Saccharomyces cerevisiae S288C: one gene and its partners. The protein of the gene in region 1 binds, or shares a complex with, the protein of each later gene. Each region holds a gene or a part of one and is shown in the gene's direction. Other genes may lie near its edges.

The links.
Region 2: the proteins of RNA14 (region 1) and RNA15 are in contact, whole or in part, in an NMR structure (PDB 2L9B), measured with the Saccharomyces cerevisiae proteins. Residues at the interface, in NP_013777.1 of Saccharomyces cerevisiae: Glu630 (codon at 5,521), Leu631 (codon at 5,524), Pro632 (codon at 5,527), Glu634 (codon at 5,533), Val635 (codon at 5,536), Leu636 (codon at 5,539), Leu638 (codon at 5,545), Leu639 (codon at 5,548), Ser640 (codon at 5,551), Val641 (codon at 5,554), Ile642 (codon at 5,557), Pro643 (codon at 5,560), Lys644 (codon at 5,563), Arg645 (codon at 5,566), Tyr647 (codon at 5,572), Phe648 (codon at 5,575), Thr650 (codon at 5,581), Leu652 (codon at 5,587), Leu653 (codon at 5,590), Asp654 (codon at 5,593), Ala655 (codon at 5,596), Gln656 (codon at 5,599), Lys657 (codon at 5,602), Leu658 (codon at 5,605), Val659 (codon at 5,608), Phe661 (codon at 5,614), Leu662 (codon at 5,617), Asn663 (codon at 5,620), Val666 (codon at 5,629), Glu667 (codon at 5,632); in NP_011471.1 of Saccharomyces cerevisiae: Phe145 (codon at 3,661), Glu147 (codon at 3,667), Leu148 (codon at 3,670), Pro149 (codon at 3,673), Ser150 (codon at 3,676), Gly151 (codon at 3,679), Ile152 (codon at 3,682), Asp153 (codon at 3,685), Val154 (codon at 3,688), Ile156 (codon at 3,694), Pro161 (codon at 3,709), Met164 (codon at 3,718), Ile165 (codon at 3,721), Glu168 (codon at 3,730), Leu169 (codon at 3,733), Lys172 (codon at 3,742), Leu178 (codon at 3,760), Lys179 (codon at 3,763), Phe180 (codon at 3,766), Leu181 (codon at 3,769), Gln182 (codon at 3,772), Lys183 (codon at 3,775), Phe184 (codon at 3,778), Gln185 (codon at 3,781), Trp187 (codon at 3,787), Thr188 (codon at 3,790), Arg189 (codon at 3,793), Pro192 (codon at 3,802), Ala195 (codon at 3,811), Leu198 (codon at 3,820).
Region 3: RNA14 (region 1) and PCF11 share a complex: the UniProt entries of both Saccharomyces cerevisiae proteins name them as parts of the CFIA complex.

The regions. Positions count from the first base shown.
Region 1 is NC_001145.3:389,122-396,197, forward strand, and holds RNA14 (cleavage polyadenylation factor subunit RNA14), read left to right. Parts: upstream 1-3,633; coding exon 3,634-5,667; downstream 5,668-7,076. Other genes in the region: ferroxidase FET3, read left to right, coding at 1-1,611; SEN15 (Sen15p), read left to right, coding at 1,978-2,364; SAM complex subunit SAM37, read right to left, coding at 2,411-3,394; ARG7 (glutamate N-acetyltransferase), read right to left, coding at 5,933-7,076. UniProt on the Saccharomyces cerevisiae protein: Component of the cleavage factor IA (CFIA) complex, which is involved in the endonucleolytic cleavage during polyadenylation-dependent pre-mRNA 3'-end formation and cooperates with the cleavage factor NAB4/CFIB and the cleavage and polyadenylation factor (CPF) complex.
Region 2 is NC_001139.9:414,473-420,264, reverse strand, and holds RNA15 (Rna15p), read left to right. Parts: upstream 1-3,228; coding exon 3,229-4,119; downstream 4,120-5,792. Other genes in the region: porphobilinogen synthase HEM2, read left to right, coding at 1-738; DPC13 (Dpc13p), read right to left, coding at 976-1,440; YGL041C-B (uncharacterized protein), read left to right, coding at 1,379-1,561; transcription elongation factor DST1, read right to left, coding at 1,853-2,782; RIM8 (Rim8p), read right to left, coding at 4,535-5,792. UniProt on the Saccharomyces cerevisiae protein: RNA-binding component of the cleavage factor IA (CFIA) complex, which is involved in the endonucleolytic cleavage during polyadenylation-dependent pre-mRNA 3'-end formation and cooperates with the cleavage factor NAB4/CFIB and the cleavage and polyadenylation factor (CPF) complex.
Region 3 is NC_001136.10:919,615-926,185, reverse strand, and holds PCF11 (Pcf11p), read left to right. Parts: upstream 1-2,379; coding exon 2,380-4,260; downstream 4,261-6,571. Other genes in the region: IVY1 (Ivy1p), read right to left, coding at 40-1,401; chromatin-silencing protein SIR4, read right to left, coding at 4,539-6,571. UniProt on the Saccharomyces cerevisiae protein: Component of the cleavage factor IA (CFIA) complex, which is involved in the endonucleolytic cleavage during polyadenylation-dependent pre-mRNA 3'-end formation and cooperates with cleavage factor NAB4/CFIB and the cleavage and polyadenylation factor (CPF) complex.

The DNA.
Region 1 (7,076 bases):
CAATGTCCAATTGCGCCAGGCAGTACTATGCTTTACAATTTCACGGTGGACTACAATGTAGGCACCTACTGGTACCATTCACACACGGACGGTCAATATGAAGACGGGATGAAAGGTCTTTTCATCATCAAGGATGATAGCTTCCCCTACGATTACGATGAGGAACTTTCTTTATCGCTTAGTGAGTGGTACCACGACTTGGTCACGGACTTGACGAAGTCGTTCATGAGTGTTTATAATCCGACAGGTGCTGAGCCCATCCCACAGAACTTGATTGTTAACAACACGATGAATCTGACATGGGAAGTCCAGCCCGATACGACGTATCTTTTGAGAATTGTCAACGTGGGTGGGTTCGTTTCGCAGTACTTTTGGATCGAGGACCACGAAATGACCGTGGTCGAAATCGACGGTATCACTACCGAGAAGAACGTAACGGATATGCTTTACATCACTGTCGCTCAGAGATATACAGTCCTGGTTCACACTAAAAACGACACGGACAAAAATTTCGCCATCATGCAGAAATTTGATGACACCATGTTGGATGTCATTCCAAGTGATTTACAGCTGAATGCAACCTCTTATATGGTCTACAACAAAACCGCTGCGCTGCCCACACAAAATTACGTGGATTCAATTGATAACTTCTTGGACGATTTCTACTTGCAACCGTACGAGAAAGAAGCCATCTATGGCGAGCCAGATCATGTGATTACCGTTGACGTTGTTATGGATAACTTGAAAAACGGTGTGAATTACGCCTTCTTCAATAATATCACCTATACTGCACCAAAAGTTCCTACTTTGATGACCGTTTTGTCTTCAGGTGATCAAGCAAACAACTCCGAAATCTACGGTTCAAACACGCACACTTTCATCCTAGAGAAGGATGAAATCGTGGAGATTGTGCTAAATAACCAGGACACAGGTACCCATCCTTTCCATTTACATGGTCACGCTTTCCAAACCATCCAGAGAGATCGTACATATGATGATGCCCTAGGTGAAGTTCCTCACAGTTTCGATCCGGACAACCACCCTGCCTTCCCAGAATACCCAATGAGAAGAGATACTTTATACGTTAGACCACAATCCAATTTCGTCATCAGGTTTAAAGCCGATAACCCAGGTGTTTGGTTCTTCCATTGTCATATCGAATGGCATTTGTTGCAAGGTTTGGGTCTTGTTCTCGTGGAGGATCCTTTTGGTATCCAAGATGCTCATTCTCAACAACTCAGTGAAAACCACTTAGAAGTTTGCCAGAGTTGCTCTGTGGCCACTGAAGGTAACGCCGCTGCCAATACACTGGATTTAACTGATTTAACTGGTGAAAATGTTCAGCATGCCTTCATTCCTACCGGTTTTACCAAAAAAGGTATTATTGCCATGACATTCTCCTGCTTTGCCGGTATTCTTGGTATTATCACAATTGCAATTTATGGTATGATGGATATGGAAGATGCGACCGAAAAGGTTATTCGAGACTTGCACGTGGACCCTGAAGTCTTGCTAAATGAGGTTGATGAAAATGAAGAGCGTCAGGTAAACGAAGATCGTCATTCCACTGAAAAGCATCAATTTTTAACTAAAGCCAAACGGTTCTTCTAATAAAGGAAGATCATGTATTTTGCGGTTAACCTGTTTTTTTTTTTTCGGTCAAGGGTTCCAAATGCATTTGCATGTAAAGTGAATGCCCTTGTCTTACTTAATATTACATAGACATATACTTAATAATCTACCACGTTTCAAATTCAATAATGCATGCTTCTTGGCGGTTTTTGACATGAGATCCTCATCTGTCACGAGGCTGATGTGCATACTTTTACTTTTAATCGATGACATGATCAGTTTCTTTTGAACAAAAAGCCGTTATGGGTTGAAAAAAAGTGAAAATGAAAAAGTCATCAGAAATATATGAAAGATATAATAAATTGTCGAAGAGAAATTACGTCGAGGAGGTTGAGGAAAATAAGAATGGCAACGACAGATATCATATCTCTAGTAAAAAATAATTTACTCTATTTCCAAATGTGGACGGAAGTGGAAATTTTACAAGACGATTTATCATGGAAGGGAAATAGCCTGAGATTACTGAGAGGTCGTCCGCCTCACAAGCTGAGCAACGATGTAGACACAGAGCATGAAAATAGCTTGTCATCGCCACGCCCGCTAGAGTTCATATTACCCATCAATATGTCACAGTACAAAGAGAATTTTCTCACTTTGGAATGCTTGAGCCAGACATTTACTCACTTATGTAGTCCATCTACTGAAAGAATACTGCTGGCCATAATTAACGATGATGGTACAATTGTTTATTACTTCGTTTATAAAGGAGTACGAAAACCGAAAAGAAATTGAAAAATGAACTTAAAGACACCTTTCTGCATTATTTTGTTTATTTTTATTATATGTATTTACAGGCTAAATTATATAATGACATCACAACGTTTCCTTGCTCTCTAAATTGAGGATCTCTTTGCTCCAAGTTATTACTTGGTCTATGGACGAAGTCATCAATTTTGTTCGACATACTATTCAATAATTCACTTCCAAAGGTTTGTTCCAGTTTTGAACGGATGCGGTTACCATCAGGTAGGCCTAACTGAACGTAAAGATTTGCAAGGAAAAGAAGGTCGGAGGAAAGTATTACAGAATCATCCAGTTTTTTACGGGCAGCCAACCAATTGCTGACGCAACTCTGTAGTCTATTATCAAATTGAAGATTATATTTCACCTGTTGTAGCTCTTGCTTACCCTTAATTTTGTTCTTATGCGCAATTTTGAAGGTCTTTGATTGTGCTAGTTGCGAGGCTGACTCCATTGCTTTACTTTCTACAAATTCTTCATCATCCTCAAGGGTCAGTGAGCCTATAATCTCCTCACAATTTTCACGTGCTTGCGATCTTAGTTGCAATGGCGTATTATACCACATAGGAAAATATAGCAATTTTGAAAACAACTTCTTGGTATATTCATTGTAATTTTTGGTGTTCAAAAAGAGCTGGTAGTCCGTTAGTCTGGAAATTTCAACGTCAACATAATTCAATAGGGAATACTCTAAAAGGCGATCCTTTTTTCTAACAATTGCTAAATCTTCTTCATAATCCGTACCTTTCTCATATTTGCTAGTACATATATTTTTATGTAAGAATTGTACGATGTTCACGTAACCAGATACTTTCGTTCCATTATCTAAAATTAACACTGGTAGTTTTCCATCTGATGATAGGTCTGTATTGTTTGAGAATACGATCTGCAATCCCGCAACCATACTCTTTGCCTCTTCTGAAGTACATAACTTGATAAACCATACAAGCGCAATGCTGTCCACTGAAATCAACGATGCTTTGCCATCCTTTCCCCATAAATGCACACTACCTTTAACCATTACTGACTCGATAATAGCCTTGCTTTGCGTTTATTTGAAAAATACAAATTCCAGCATTAAATAGTAGCCATTCTAAATAGCTTATTTCTTATTACATTTCCCACTTCGTTTAAAATGATAACAATCGTGACAAAATTGTCGGTTACCTTGTAATAATTAAGAAGAAAAGTGTAGCTTGTGTGATGAAAGAGTATTCTACAACGAAATAAAAGGCCAAACTGGAGAGTCAAACAAGAGATATGTCCAGCTCTACGACTCCTGATTTACTATATCCCTCTGCGGACAAAGTCGCAGAGCCTAGTGACAATATACATGGAGATGAACTACGACTTAGAGAAAGGATTAAAGACAATCCCACGAATATTTTATCATACTTCCAGCTTATTCAATATTTGGAAACTCAAGAGTCATACGCTAAGGTGAGAGAAGTATACGAGCAATTTCATAACACATTCCCGTTTTATTCACCTGCGTGGACTTTGCAACTAAAGGGTGAATTGGCAAGAGATGAATTTGAGACTGTTGAGAAGATTTTGGCTCAATGTCTTTCTGGCAAGTTGGAAAATAATGACCTATCTCTTTGGTCAACATATTTGGACTACATACGCAGAAAAAACAACTTAATTACTGGTGGACAAGAGGCGAGAGCTGTTATTGTCAAGGCATTCCAACTAGTTATGCAAAAGTGTGCAATTTTTGAACCCAAATCATCTTCTTTTTGGAACGAATATCTCAATTTTTTAGAGCAGTGGAAGCCATTCAACAAATGGGAGGAGCAACAGCGAATTGACATGCTCAGAGAATTCTACAAGAAAATGCTATGTGTTCCTTTTGATAATCTAGAAAAAATGTGGAATAGATACACTCAATGGGAACAAGAAATAAATTCCCTAACAGCCAGAAAATTTATTGGCGAGTTATCAGCCGAATACATGAAAGCCCGTTCCTTATACCAGGAATGGTTGAACGTTACTAATGGATTGAAAAGGGCATCTCCAATTAATCTGCGCACAGCAAACAAGAAAAACATACCACAACCAGGTACCTCAGACTCAAACATTCAGCAGTTACAGATTTGGTTGAATTGGATAAAATGGGAAAGGGAGAATAAGTTGATGCTTAGTGAAGATATGCTATCACAAAGAATCAGTTACGTTTATAAACAAGGTATTCAATACATGATATTTTCTGCTGAAATGTGGTACGATTATTCAATGTATATATCTGAAAATTCGGATCGACAAAATATCTTATATACTGCGTTATTAGCTAATCCCGACTCACCTTCTCTTACATTCAAGTTATCCGAATGCTACGAACTGGATAATGATTCTGAAAGTGTTTCTAACTGTTTTGACAAGTGCACTCAAACTTTACTATCGCAGTATAAAAAGATCGCCTCCGATGTAAATTCGGGTGAAGATAATAACACAGAGTATGAACAAGAGCTGCTATACAAACAGAGGGAAAAATTAACATTCGTGTTTTGCGTGTATATGAATACGATGAAAAGAATATCAGGACTATCCGCAGCACGTACTGTATTTGGTAAATGTCGTAAACTGAAGCGTATATTAACACATGACGTCTACGTGGAAAATGCATATTTAGAATTTCAAAATCAAAACGATTATAAGACTGCTTTTAAGGTTTTAGAATTGGGTTTAAAATACTTCCAAAACGATGGAGTTTATATCAACAAATACTTAGATTTTTTAATATTTTTAAATAAGGATTCGCAGATCAAAACCTTATTTGAAACATCAGTGGAAAAAGTGCAAGATTTAACCCAGCTGAAGGAAATATACAAGAAAATGATAAGTTATGAATCGAAATTCGGTAACTTAAACAACGTTTATTCTCTAGAGAAAAGATTTTTCGAACGGTTCCCCCAAGAAAATTTGATTGAAGTTTTCACAAGTCGTTATCAAATTCAAAACTCCAACTTAATAAAGAAATTAGAGTTAACTTATATGTATAATGAGGAAGAAGACAGTTACTTTTCTTCTGGAAACGGGGATGGCCATCATGGCTCTTACAATATGAGTTCGTCAGATAGAAAGAGACTAATGGAGGAAACTGGAAACAATGGAAACTTCTCCAATAAGAAATTCAAAAGAGACTCAGAGCTTCCAACAGAGGTTCTTGATTTATTGAGCGTTATACCAAAACGTCAATATTTTAATACAAATTTACTCGATGCGCAGAAATTGGTGAATTTTTTAAATGATCAAGTAGAGATTCCAACAGTTGAGAGCACCAAGTCAGGTTAACATTACGTTAATAAATAGGTATATATGAATATTTATACCAACACATCTATTATAATAGGCGAACCTCTGTATGTAATTAAGTAAAAAAAAAACGATGTGACAGGATAGTTAAGGTGCCTCGTACATAAATAAAAACGGAAATAGTTAATTCTTTCAAAAATATGGCAATAGCCAAACTCATTCAGAAGGTACAGGAAACACTCTGTTTCTGTGCGTTTATATAACCATGCTTATAAAAGAAAGATTGAACAAAATATACATGAATTTATGAACGGTAATCACCGTTAATTGTTACATATTCATGTGATAAATCACAAGTCCAAAATTGTGCTGCCTGATCACCGGTTCCCAAGTCGACAGACACTTCCAAATCATTCAAAGCCAATATTTCAGAAGCCCTTGTTTCATCGATCTCCAATTGTGGCACACCATTAGCGACAAGCTTCAGCTCACGAGGTTCTGAATTGTCGGTAGCAATAAAGCTAACATTAATTTTGTTGACATCTAGAGATTTTAAGTCATTCAGCTTTGCATACCCGATCGCGCACAATATTCTTCCCCAATTGGCATCTTGCCCATATAGTGCGGTTTTGACCAACATAGAGTTTGAGATTGATTCAGCAATTATTTTGGCGTCTTCAAAATGCAAAGCATTTTTAACGTTAACAGTAACAAACTTTGTCGAACCTTCACCATCGCGAACGACTAACTGGGCCAAGCGCTGAGCAAATTCTGTGACCTGCAATTTTACTTGTTCAAAATCTTTAGAGTCTTCGTTAATTTCTTTGGTGTCAATAGCACCGTTGGCCAACATGCAAATTGTGTCATTGGTGCTCATATCACCGTCCACCGATATACAATTAAATGAACGGGTAGTAGCGAAAGTCAGCATCTTCTGCAACGCCTTGCTTTCAATAGGAAGATCTGTAACTATGAAACCTAATAAGGTAGCCATATTCGGACAAATCATACCCGCGCCCTTTGCCATACCTGTCAAAGTATACTCAGTACCACTAGGTAATTTGAATCTAGATGTAACTAATTTTGGGAAAGTATCAGTAGTACAGATTGATTTGGCTACGTTCAACCAAGAGTTAAAATCACTGCCGAACTTTTCTTCTCCAAAAATTTTATTGATACCAGTGCTGATCTTGTCCATCTGTAGTCGTTGTCCAATAACGCCTGTAGACATGACTAGGGTAGAATTTTTTTGACCAATTTTATCGTTAACCAAATCAATCATTACTTGGGCATCTTTCATACCAAGATCACCTGTGACCGAGTTAGCACAACCGGAATTGACTACAATAGCGTTGATGTTTTTACCACGAGCAGTTTCAAGGACTTTTTTCGATGTCAAAACTGGCGCAGCTTTGAATTTATTGGTCGTGAAAACAGCTGCTGCGGTT
Region 2 (5,792 bases), on another chromosome or scaffold:
AAGGATCCAGTGGGTACAGCGGCTGACGATCCTGCAGGGCCAGTCATTCAAGGTATTAAATTCATTCGTGAGTATTTCCCTGAACTGTATATTATTTGCGATGTCTGTCTCTGTGAATACACTTCTCATGGCCATTGCGGGGTTCTATACGATGATGGTACTATTAATAGAGAACGTAGTGTCTCTAGATTAGCAGCTGTGGCAGTTAACTACGCTAAAGCTGGTGCGCACTGTGTGGCTCCCAGTGATATGATCGATGGTAGGATCAGAGATATTAAACGAGGCTTAATAAATGCAAACTTGGCTCACAAGACCTTCGTGTTATCCTATGCAGCTAAGTTTAGCGGTAATCTATATGGGCCATTCCGTGATGCTGCTTGTTCAGCTCCTTCGAATGGTGATAGGAAATGTTACCAATTACCTCCTGCCGGTCGTGGCCTGGCACGTAGGGCGTTGGAAAGGGATATGAGTGAAGGTGCCGACGGTATTATTGTTAAGCCTTCCACTTTCTACTTAGATATAATGAGGGATGCAAGTGAAATTTGTAAAGACTTACCAATCTGCGCATATCACGTGTCGGGCGAATACGCAATGTTACATGCTGCAGCTGAAAAAGGTGTTGTTGATTTGAAGACAATTGCCTTTGAATCTCATCAAGGTTTCTTGAGGGCGGGTGCCAGATTAATCATCACTTATTTGGCTCCTGAGTTCCTAGACTGGTTAGATGAAGAAAACTAAAAAAAAACGTGCTTACCTTGTGAATAGTAAAAATAATGATGTCAATATGACAAATGTAACAGTGCTGGCAGTATATCCCTATTTGGCAAGCTTTATAATATGCAAAGATGCGACCTAGTATACGATACAATGGAAATTATGTAATCCTCCTAATGAGTATTTATGTAGTAGTACGTAATATTTATACACGGAAGGCGCTAGTAAGACAGATAGGTAATGTTTTTTTACTTTCACCTCTCATTTTTTCTTCTCAAGGCCTAAAACGGTCATTAGCGGGGCCAGTTGTTCAGGTCCTAACTGTATGCCAGATTTTTCCAATTCCAATTTAAATTCCTTCATAGCGTGTCTCAGATCTCTGTCCATTAAGATCTTAATCATTTGCCATGGTTTCATCGTATTTTCTTCATTGGCAGAAGTCCCATCTAGATTAACCAATTTTTTTTCGATCATGATATTGCTAACCTTTTCTAACTTTTCCAGAACATTAGGCCTCGAATTTATTTGATCCATGAGTTTCTGCACCTTTATGTGTGCATCTATTTTGTCATTAGGCTGTCTGTCGTCCCAAGATTGAGCGTAAAATCTTCTCGGAGAAATCCAGGAAAGCCTCCTTAAACTCCTGGTGTGATTAGTGGTAGAAATGTTCGATAGTTCTATCGAACGAGTGACTCTGGAACTATGCTTCCATATAACTCTTAGCATTATGTGTGGCTGTAGTATCTACTTTCTGCTTCTTGTGTTTATTCTAACTTTTTATTCGTCGGTTTTGTTACATCTTAAATTGTATTTCTTTAGTTCTGACCGAGCCATATTTAATGCATAGAAGATTAATAAAGAAAACATGAAAATCATAAATAATTAAAAGTAACTGGACGAACAAAAGATTTTACGTGAGACAGACAAAAAAAATTAACACCAGCAGTATATGTATATATGTACATCGTATATGAATATGCCATTTCAACAAATTGGATATGGTTGTATGTTTGGCTTTTTCTTTTCCTGGATTCCGGCTGTCAAATACTACTACGAATAGAGTCAGAACAGGCTTTTCTGTCCCTTCCTCCTATTGTTTCCTTTGCTCTGTCCGTGGCTACTCTCATCTTTTTCTATTCTAAGAGAATTTCCATCTGTTACCACATGCTTCACATGTACAGAAAGTGGTCAATGGTTCATCCGCAGATCTTGTTTGCAATTGATAGTAAGATACCTTCTTCTCTTTACATTTACCACATGTAAATCTATCGGTGACTGACCTTTCTATGGTGGCACCCTGTGCGTTGTATAAGTTTTGCTTGGCAATTTCTTCTATCTTTTGCTTTAAGGGCGCTGGTGCCAGATCCTTGGCATCGCATGTAGCTAAGAATTCAGGTGTTATATCACCGTTGGCAATTTTATGTTTGAGATCTGGGTTATTCTTTGATATGACGTTTGAATAAATTATACGATACCTGGCTTTGTAAGCGGCTTCGTTGGTGTCACAGTTGTTAACTTTATTCATTTCACTTTCTATGGCCTTTGCAGTATGCAAAATAGATTGAGGTGGATGCTCACTTTCCTTGGCCAAAACGTCGTAGAGTGCTTTTAGTACCTGATCACGTAATTTGTGGTGGTATATAGCTGTATCCACACCATCGTTCTTACTATTTCTTGGTTTAGTGCTGACGTACTTGTCTTGTTTCATGGCATCTGACTGGGAGGAGGCCGGCTGTTGAACACCATTCACGGACTCACCTACAGTTGTCTTGTCCTCTGCATTGCCTGGCGCATGATCTTGATGATGCTGCTGTGCTTGCCTGGAACGCTTATTTTTATTAATTGCGTCTTTCCAAGAGCTAATCATTTTCTTCACGAGTTTGCTGATCTCTACATTAGTGGATTTTTTAAACTTGTTGACTTCCACACCAACTTTTGTTTCTCTCAGTAACTTTTCAGTGGGGACGAATTCTTTATCCAAGACATGTAAGATTTCTAGAACTGCAGCATCATTACTTTTGTTCTTTTCTAGATTCTTAACATGTACCAGTACTTCCTTACTATCCATGATGAATGCTCTTATGCGGACTGACTACACTGTGAATGTTCTGCTGCTTGAGTAATTTTTCATTCAATATTTTTCAATACGTAGTCCCATCATCGAGTGATCACTTGGTCATATCAGCACAGTGGGGCGGGTAAGAGTTGAAAATTTCCCTATAATGAAATTGGATATTATATATCAAAAAGGCGTTGTCATTCGAAGCATCGTTTCAAAAGAAGGTCCGTAAAGTTAAGGTGGGCTAGTGAAGTATCTCATAATTGTTACAATCACCATAAGAGAAATCTTGCGTTTAGAATTTCCTAAGAGAACCGAGTCACTTCTAGCACTTGCTTTAAACAGAAACACTTGTAATAATTGTTAGAGGGATATACAAGAAAGGCTATATACCAATAGCATCACATAGACACGTTAATTATCAATACATTGAAAGAAAAGACGAAAACGATAAAATGAATAGGCAGAGCGGTGTGAATGCGGGGGTACAGAACAACCCACCATCCCGAGTGGTGTATCTGGGTTCTATACCATACGATCAAACAGAGGAGCAGATACTTGATTTATGTAGTAATGTTGGGCCCGTGATCAATTTGAAAATGATGTTCGACCCCCAAACTGGTAGGTCGAAAGGGTACGCGTTTATTGAATTTAGAGATTTAGAGTCCAGTGCCAGCGCAGTACGTAATTTGAATGGATACCAATTAGGCTCTAGGTTTTTGAAATGCGGTTACTCCAGCAATAGTGATATATCGGGAGTTTCACAACAGCAACAACAACAGTACAACAACATTAATGGGAACAATAACAACAATGGAAATAATAATAATAATAGTAATGGGCCGGACTTTCAAAACAGCGGAAATGCCAATTTTCTAAGTCAAAAGTTTCCAGAATTGCCCTCTGGTATCGACGTTAACATAAACATGACCACCCCTGCTATGATGATATCGAGCGAACTAGCTAAAAAACCGAAAGAGGTGCAGTTGAAATTTTTACAAAAATTCCAAGAATGGACAAGAGCGCATCCTGAAGATGCTGTTTCGCTATTAGAGCTGTGTCCACAGTTGAGTTTTGTTACGGCTGAATTATTGCTAACGAATGGGATATGTAAAGTGGATGATTTGATCCCGTTAGCTTCCAGGCCGCAAGAAGAGGCATCGGCTACGAATAACAATAGCGTGAACGAGGTGGTGGATCCAGCTGTGCTTAACAAACAGAAAGAACTACTGAAACAGGTGTTACAACTGAATGACAGTCAAATTTCTATCTTGCCCGATGATGAAAGGATGGCTATTTGGGACTTAAAACAAAAAGCATTAAGGGGAGAATTTGGTGCATTTTGAAACTAGGGAGGCAAAAATACAAAAAAAAAATGCGGTTCCGCAATGATGAGGCAACAATCTATCATATTTTCCACGTGAGGGAGCTCAAAGTTCGGTATATAGCTTACATCTCAATATCACAATCACTTTTTTTTTTGACGTCTTTATAAATATAGAATAACGTTTACGTTACTGCTATTTTTTCGTTTCTTATCTCAGTTTGCCTGAGGACGGCTATAGTTTTAATCATTAAACGTATATTAAGTACACATGAACATATATAAATCTCAGGTTTGTGCATGCTTCGATTTTTTTTTTCTATGTTAATGTCATGGATCATTACGTGGCTGGGATAGTGGAAATATGCAAACATGATTAAGGCGCCTAGTTCCAACACGGCGCAAGCTGCGAGTATATGACTTGTTACCTGCACTTTTTAATAGTCATCACAAGGGGGAGGATCGCTTTCTAACTGTTGTAGTCTTTTTTGTTCAAGTTCTTGTTTGTCTTCCGACGGTACACTGACTTTATCATTTGGCGAATACTTTGGAACTGGAACATCGTCACTATCATATGCATTTAATGGGGCCAACCAATCTCTTAAATTCGATGGAGAATTTTGAGGAGCCGTGATTGAGGATTGGGATGGGATGCTTGCATCAGATTGCTGCTGTTCGGATCTCGTCGTTCCTATGACGGTTTCTATGGACATACCAGTTACATTCCTCAGTCTCTTTAGCTTTTCCACATTTACCATATCTTTGAAAAATATACTGGATTCATAACCCTCAGAATCGTTCTCCAACGTTTCTGGATTGACCATACGTAGCATTTTCCTTTGGATACGGTTGATATTATTCTCTACGCCCAAGCCATTTTGTTCTCCAATAGGAGTTCCTATTATTCTATTAGATTCTGTGTAAACCACGTTTTTTTTTGATAAGTTAACCATAACCTCGATATAGTATTGGAAGGAGAAAAATTTTCCCACAGTAGTAAGGGTCGAAAATGCATCAAGGGGCACTTTCAGATAAACTCTAGATTGAAACTGCAACGTTTCAGGGTTAATATATATAGGAGAGATACTCTGACATATATCTTTTCTGAAAGTCTCCATAGGATCATCTTTGCCTGCACCGCCCACCCTACATATCCTCACCAAAGTGGTGGTGAGACCCGCAGGGGCATAGAAAGGCTTATAGTGGTCAATCTTAACGTCTATAGGGATAATTTCACCAATCATGAATCCAGCCTGCGGTATGTCTACGGATATAGTCACCGTTTTATTTGGTAAGGGGGACGTCTTGGAGTTTACTGAACTGCTAGAAGAATTAGAAGTAGTAGACTTTTGAGTTAATTGTGTATACGATGAGGATTCGTCCTCTGTAGATTTGTTCTTTTTGTTTTGGACCATAGATGCTGATTGTAAAACCACTGTCTTAGTTTTCGGCTTGGGCAGCCTCGAGACGTCCAGCGGAACTATGACTGCAAACTCACGTTCGCATCTTGCTTCCGGTTTTTTTAATCCGTTGATGTTGTTGAGGGATTCTAAAGTGCAAGAGAGGAAGTATGTTATCGAGCCCCTTTCGAACTTTATAGAGCTCAACATTCCTCTGCCTCGTGGTATTCGTATCCTAAAGGGAAACCTGTGTTCCCCCTTGCTTAAACCATTGAGAATGGTGGTTTTGTCAACA
Region 3 (6,571 bases), on another chromosome or scaffold:
TCCATTTCTATATAAAAAGCATACATAGAGTTACAAATTTTATATATTACTTGACTGGTCTTGCATGCCGTCCGTATCGCTGCTGTGATTGTCATTATCTTCTTTAATGGACAATTGTTTAAACGTTTGTGTGGTTTCCTCGGCAGAGTTTCTCGTAGGCGGTAAAGAAAATGAATTTTCTGTTCCCATCAAATTGTCTGTATCCTCATCTTCGCCATTTTTGCCGCCGCCATTGTTTCGTACCCCGTCCTTGTTTGAACTTGACTGTGAATGATTCGGTGTGGATACCGTTGAGGACCCCTTGGATTTGGGTAAAGATGTTTTTGATGTGGAAGGTTGGCTGGTTCCTTCTAGTAGTTCATTGAGCACCACGTCATTCCCACCCGTTTCCTCATCGCTGTTGTATGCTTCTCCAGCAGTCTCTCCATCACCACCGATGGTCCCGTATGGCCCATCTGCTTTTTTGCTGAAGGGGTCGTCTGCATCACAAAGTAGTTCGTCTAGCCCGCCTCCAGACCAACCTTTCCTTGCAATATTTTCAGAAATTTCCACTTGTGCCCTAGATACCGTGGCAACTTTGCTGAGTACTTTGTTGCATGTATTTTCCACAAGTTCGTATGAATCCATGTAAAAATCGTGCTTTAGTGTCTCCAGTTGATCTAACCTTGCTTGCAAGCTAGAAAGGCTCTCTCGGTATGAGATTAAATTCCTTATTTTTCTTTTCGAGATATCGAAGTTATGTCTTTCCTGCAATTTCAATTTTAAACTTTGCTCTTTGCTTTGTGCTTTGAACTTGTTCTCCATTATCTTGGTCTGTAATTCGAATTCATCAATATCATCAATTAAATTATCTCCCAACAAGTCATTGAAATACTTTGACATTATAAGCTGATGATTAGATAAAAGGTAGAATAACCCACTGGCACTCAATAGTTTCTCCGCCGTTTCATCATTGCAACCCTTCAACTTGGCAATGTTTTCTAAGGAATGGGCAATTTCTGCCCCATTCTGAGATGTCTTTAATAACGAATCCGAATAAGCATTCGAGTTCCTGAGTAATGTCGATAGGGCTTCCTGGGTCTCTTTCACATCTCTCTTTGTGATTAGCGTTTGCAAGTCGTTTATTGTGCTCGTACCAGAAGTTATGCTCGATGCCCGACGGGCCTTTGAATACACTTTGGATGAACGTAAATGGTTCATGTCGTCCAGATGGTCGTTATTTTCTGAGCCAGCACTGCTAGCCACTGGTCTTTTACTATTTACAATTGGGTAAAATTCAGATAGATGAGGCGCGTATCTGTCGGGAGAGACGTCAAAATGGTTACCGTTGTCCCAGTCAACCCTCAGTCTCTGGTCACTTGAAGGAGATCCCTGCAATTGCTCCGTATTATTGTCAGGCATATCCGATTTCTCTTCCTGTTACTTTCTTTAACAATATTTTATTCCTTGGTGAAATTTAATTGACCCTTTATTCAGAATATATACTTCTATTGTATGGATATGGTTTTTTTCCACTTAATGTTTAGCATAAATTTCCATCTCACCCTTTTCTTGTAACATATCGCCCAATATTTTTTTCTTTTGCCCGCATTGACCATTTTTTCCTGTAAAACGAGTAATGTGAGCAGTAGAATAAGTGTATATCATCCGTTAAATAAGGCGCAATCTACCGAAGTTTGAGATCTAACTCAAGTTTTTATAAATTAGATACGTTTTTCCTTACTATTCTACATGAGATGGCCATTAGCATGAGATGACTTCAATACGCACTTCTGTTGGAACGCAGATAGGATGTTTACACTCGTCTGCTCTATTCTTTGTACTTTCAATAGAGCAAAGCAAGTGGTACCAATGAAGAGAAGGCCCAGCTGTTTTATTCCAGCGGCGAAGAAGTCTAGCCTATTCCTAATGTATTAGTACAGCTATACAGAACTTTCTCAGTCTAATTTTTGATGTACTTTTATACATAGATTTACACACTTTTCAAAACGTACTTACGTAGTCGGTTCAAGGGATACACCAATTTAGCCAATGAAGCTGGGCCCCAAGTGATCAGAGTTTCGTAATTGAGCTAGGATTTGCTGCTTTTTATTCCCTTTATCACCAAATGGTATTACCTAGTGCATCTAAGTTTTAGTTTACCCGGGCGAATTTTTTTTAAGGACTCGACGCATTGGATGAGAACTTGGCCTAAGGCATGGGAAGAAAGCGAAATTTCAAAAATTAATGAGACAATGTTGTTCTACTGTTAAGGGTTTAGTAGTTTAAAAGTCTCTCTTTCAATTTTGCATTGCAAAGAATTACCAGGACAATTTTCGGAGCAGTTAAGAAAACTGTACTTGAAAACACTAGGTCTATTTGTAATACTCTCTTTTCATTATGGATCACGACACAGAAGTTATAGTCAAGGATTTCAACAGTATTCTTGAAGAATTAACTTTTAACTCGAGACCCATTATTACCACTCTCACGAAGTTAGCAGAAGAAAACATTTCGTGTGCTCAATATTTTGTTGACGCCATTGAGAGTAGAATTGAAAAATGTATGCCTAAGCAGAAGCTATACGCTTTTTATGCCTTGGACTCCATTTGTAAGAATGTTGGCAGCCCATACACAATCTACTTCAGTAGAAATTTGTTTAACTTGTACAAAAGAACATACTTATTGGTGGACAACACCACAAGAACAAAACTCATCAATATGTTTAAGCTTTGGTTGAATCCTAATGACACCGGCCTGCCTCTGTTTGAAGGCTCAGCACTGGAGAAAATTGAACAGTTTTTAATAAAGGCCAGTGCTCTCCACCAGAAAAACCTGCAAGCAATGTTACCAACTCCGACTGTTCCCCTCCTATTAAGAGACATTGATAAATTAACTTGTTTAACTAGTGAAAGGCTAAAGAATCAACCAAATGATGAAAAATTAAAAATGAAACTGTTGGTTTTATCTCAGTTGAAACAAGAACTGAAAAGAGAAAAACTAACTCTCAATGCTCTGAAACAAGTTCAAATGCAACTAAGGCAGGTCTTCTCACAGGACCAACAAGTTTTGCAGGAAAGAATGAGGTATCACGAACTTCAGCAGCAACAGCAACAACAGCAGCAACAGCAACAACAACAACAGCAGCAGCAGCAGCAGTATCACGAAACTAAGGATATGGTCGGTTCTTACACACAAAACTCTAATTCAGCGATTCCATTGTTTGGAAATAATTCAGATACAACGAACCAACAGAATTCTTTATCTTCCTCTCTTTTTGGTAATATTTCTGGCGTTGAATCTTTTCAAGAAATTGAGAAAAAAAAGTCCCTAAACAAAATCAATAACCTCTATGCATCTCTTAAGGCTGAAGGGCTCATATATACTCCACCAAAAGAATCCATCGTAACGCTTTATAAAAAGCTAAATGGACACTCAAACTACTCTCTTGATTCACACGAAAAACAATTGATGAAGAACCTGCCAAAGATACCCTTATTAAATGATATTCTTTCTGACTGCAAAGCTTATTTTGCCACGGTTAACATCGACGTTTTGAATAACCCATCCCTGCAGCTGTCCGAACAAACTCTTCTTCAAGAAAATCCCATCGTCCAAAATAATCTTATTCACTTATTATACCGATCCAAGCCAAATAAATGTAGCGTGTGTGGTAAGAGATTTGGCAACTCAGAAAGTGAAAAACTACTACAAAATGAGCATTTGGACTGGCATTTCAGAATAAATACAAGAATTAAGGGATCACAAAACACAGCAAATACAGGCATAAGCAACTCTAACTTAAATACAACTACCACAAGGAAAAATATTCAATCAAGAAACTGGTATTTGAGTGACTCTCAATGGGCAGCCTTCAAAGATGATGAAATTACCTCCACAAAGCATAAAAATGATTATACTGATCCGCATGCCAATAAAAATATCGATAAAAGTGCCCTAAATATTCACGCTGATGAAAATGACGAAGGCTCTGTAGACAACACTTTAGGAAGTGATAGAAGTAACGAGTTGGAAATACGGGGAAAATATGTTGTTGTACCAGAAACTTCACAAGATATGGCCTTCAAATGTCCAATTTGTAAGGAAACCGTTACTGGCGTTTATGATGAAGAATCTGGTGAATGGGTTTGGAAAAATACTATTGAAGTGAATGGCAAATATTTCCACTCGACATGTTATCATGAAACGTCGCAAAATTCAAGCAAATCTAATAGTGGCAAGGTCGGTTTGGATGACTTAAAGAAATTGGTCACAAAATAAGAGCAGAACTGCATATATACATTTAAATTTAATAACTATATATTATATTAAATTCTTTGTTCTTGGTATTTGATGGGTTGCTCATTTGTTTATTTTTTTTTTTTTTTTTTTTGCTTATGTGTCCATTATATTATATGTAATTTTACATATGTAGCCAAAAGCCCAACTAATCATTAAAATCGATTAAAGACCGTAAAGTAAATTGTTCATTATAGAAGAAAACGACAAAGAAAAACAGGGTACACTTCGTTACTGGTCTTTTGTAGAATGATAAAAAGTCAATACGGTTTTATCTCCTTATTCACTTGAAAATCTTTTTCCATCAATTTGTTAATTTTAGCATCTTTTTCAGATATTTGACTTCTCGCATTTTCAAGACATTTCTTTGTAAAAGTTAAATCACCTTGAAGTGAAGTTATTCTAATTTCATTCCTCATAACTTCATCTGACAAAGACCGAATAATTTCATTTGCAACAGCCAATTGTTTTTCCTTTTCATCCAGCGCCGATGCTGCTTTCGACAAAACGATATCCACAAAGGAAAGACCATCTTCTTTCATGTCCTTCGAACATTCGGTGACACTATCCTTATTATCAATTTCAAGTTCTGTTTTTTGGGTTGATGTGTACATATTTGATTGTTGAGTACCAGTTTGTGAATGTGTTCCTAAAACGTCAACACTAGTTAAAATTTCTGTTGTATTACTGTCTGTTATATCGTCGAGTTGTTTCACTCGACGATCTTCAACGATTGGAACCCTTTTTCCAACAGAAAAATAGCCGTAGGACGCAGGTCTTGAGAAAGAGAGTGAGATGTTTTCTGATGCGTGCTTCCCATTTCCAGGGATTATTTTTGCTTTGTTAGAATTAAAAATACTGTCGAATTGCTTCTTTTCTGGTAGGGTTTTCGTTTCCATTGTGCTCAGCTGCACCAAAGACTTCACATCTGGCGGAGAAGAAGGCTTCACATTTTTAACCATTAACGGTTTTTTTGTAATTTGCAGTATATCCTTAGGCATAATTTTGGCATCTGCCATATGCTCGGGCTCGACCACATGTGGTTTGACCGACGTGGATATAGAAACAGGTTCACAGGACTTCTGAATATCAAATCCCATGTTGGAAACAAATCTCTGAGTCTTCATAAATGACCAAAATCTGGCTTTTTTTGCATCAGGCTTGTTCTGTAATTCGTTGTAGTAAATCTTAATTTCAGAACTCATTGGGTAATCTTCTATTTCACCTTTCAGTATAATGATGTCACTCTCTCTAAAATTATTGGAAATTGCTGATTTAAGGTTGTTAGCAAATATATCTTTAAGTAACTGCATTTTTTCGTTAATTATTTGTCTATCACTGTCGGAAAGCTCCGAAGGGAACTCATCAACCAACGAAACGGAAATAAGTTTCAAATTTGCAAGCCATTCTTGCCTCCAAGAGCTTTTTGAAAGGTTCTCCTTCGTGTTTTTGGGTTTGCTAGAATTAGTATCACTATGCGACACTCTTCTATTGCTTTTAGTAGGCGTGGTACTTAGCTTTGTTTCTTCGAATCCTAATGGAGAAGACACGGTTGGAATTTGGGATGGTTTAGCGGAAGAAGAATTTTGTTCTTGGCTATGTTTCCCTATATTGATATTTTTATTGGTCACATCATTTTTTTCAGTGTTATTTGTGTTTTCAAATGTAGAAACTGCATATAATGGCAAATATTGTAATCTGTCCTTCTTGTGCACTTGTTGGTAAAAGAAAGCACTTGATGTTTCATAGTTTTCAACAGAGCAAATGTCGTTAGTCACACTAGTTAATGGATTGCCACTTAAATAACTATGTTTTGGGATCCCTTGTTCAATAAGGTCAGTTATTGTTTCTTTATCGTATGTCGTTTTATCAGCTATCCTCCAAAGAATGTTTTTCGTCAATTCACGATCAGATTTTCGCCAATCCAATACAGGATCAAACCATTTGCCTGCCTGAATTTGGTCCTTTTCAGCACTTGTATCTAAATCATTAGTTACTTTGATTTCATTTGATTCACCAGAGCTTAAACTTTCCAAGTCAGTTAGGCTATCATTATCTGAAGAAGAATCGTCTGAGTCGGACACGTATACCAGCTCCATTTTTCCCGGGTGAGTTATTATCGTATTCATTCTCCCACGGCAGATCTTCTTTTTTTCAATTTGCTCATCCTCTGTATGATTTGCGAAAGATTTCTTTGAAGGTTGAGATAGAGAAACTGGAAAATTATCGCTATACTCATGCTTACTTGCACTAACTGGCTGAGATAGAGACACCTTATCAGTCTTATTTTCTG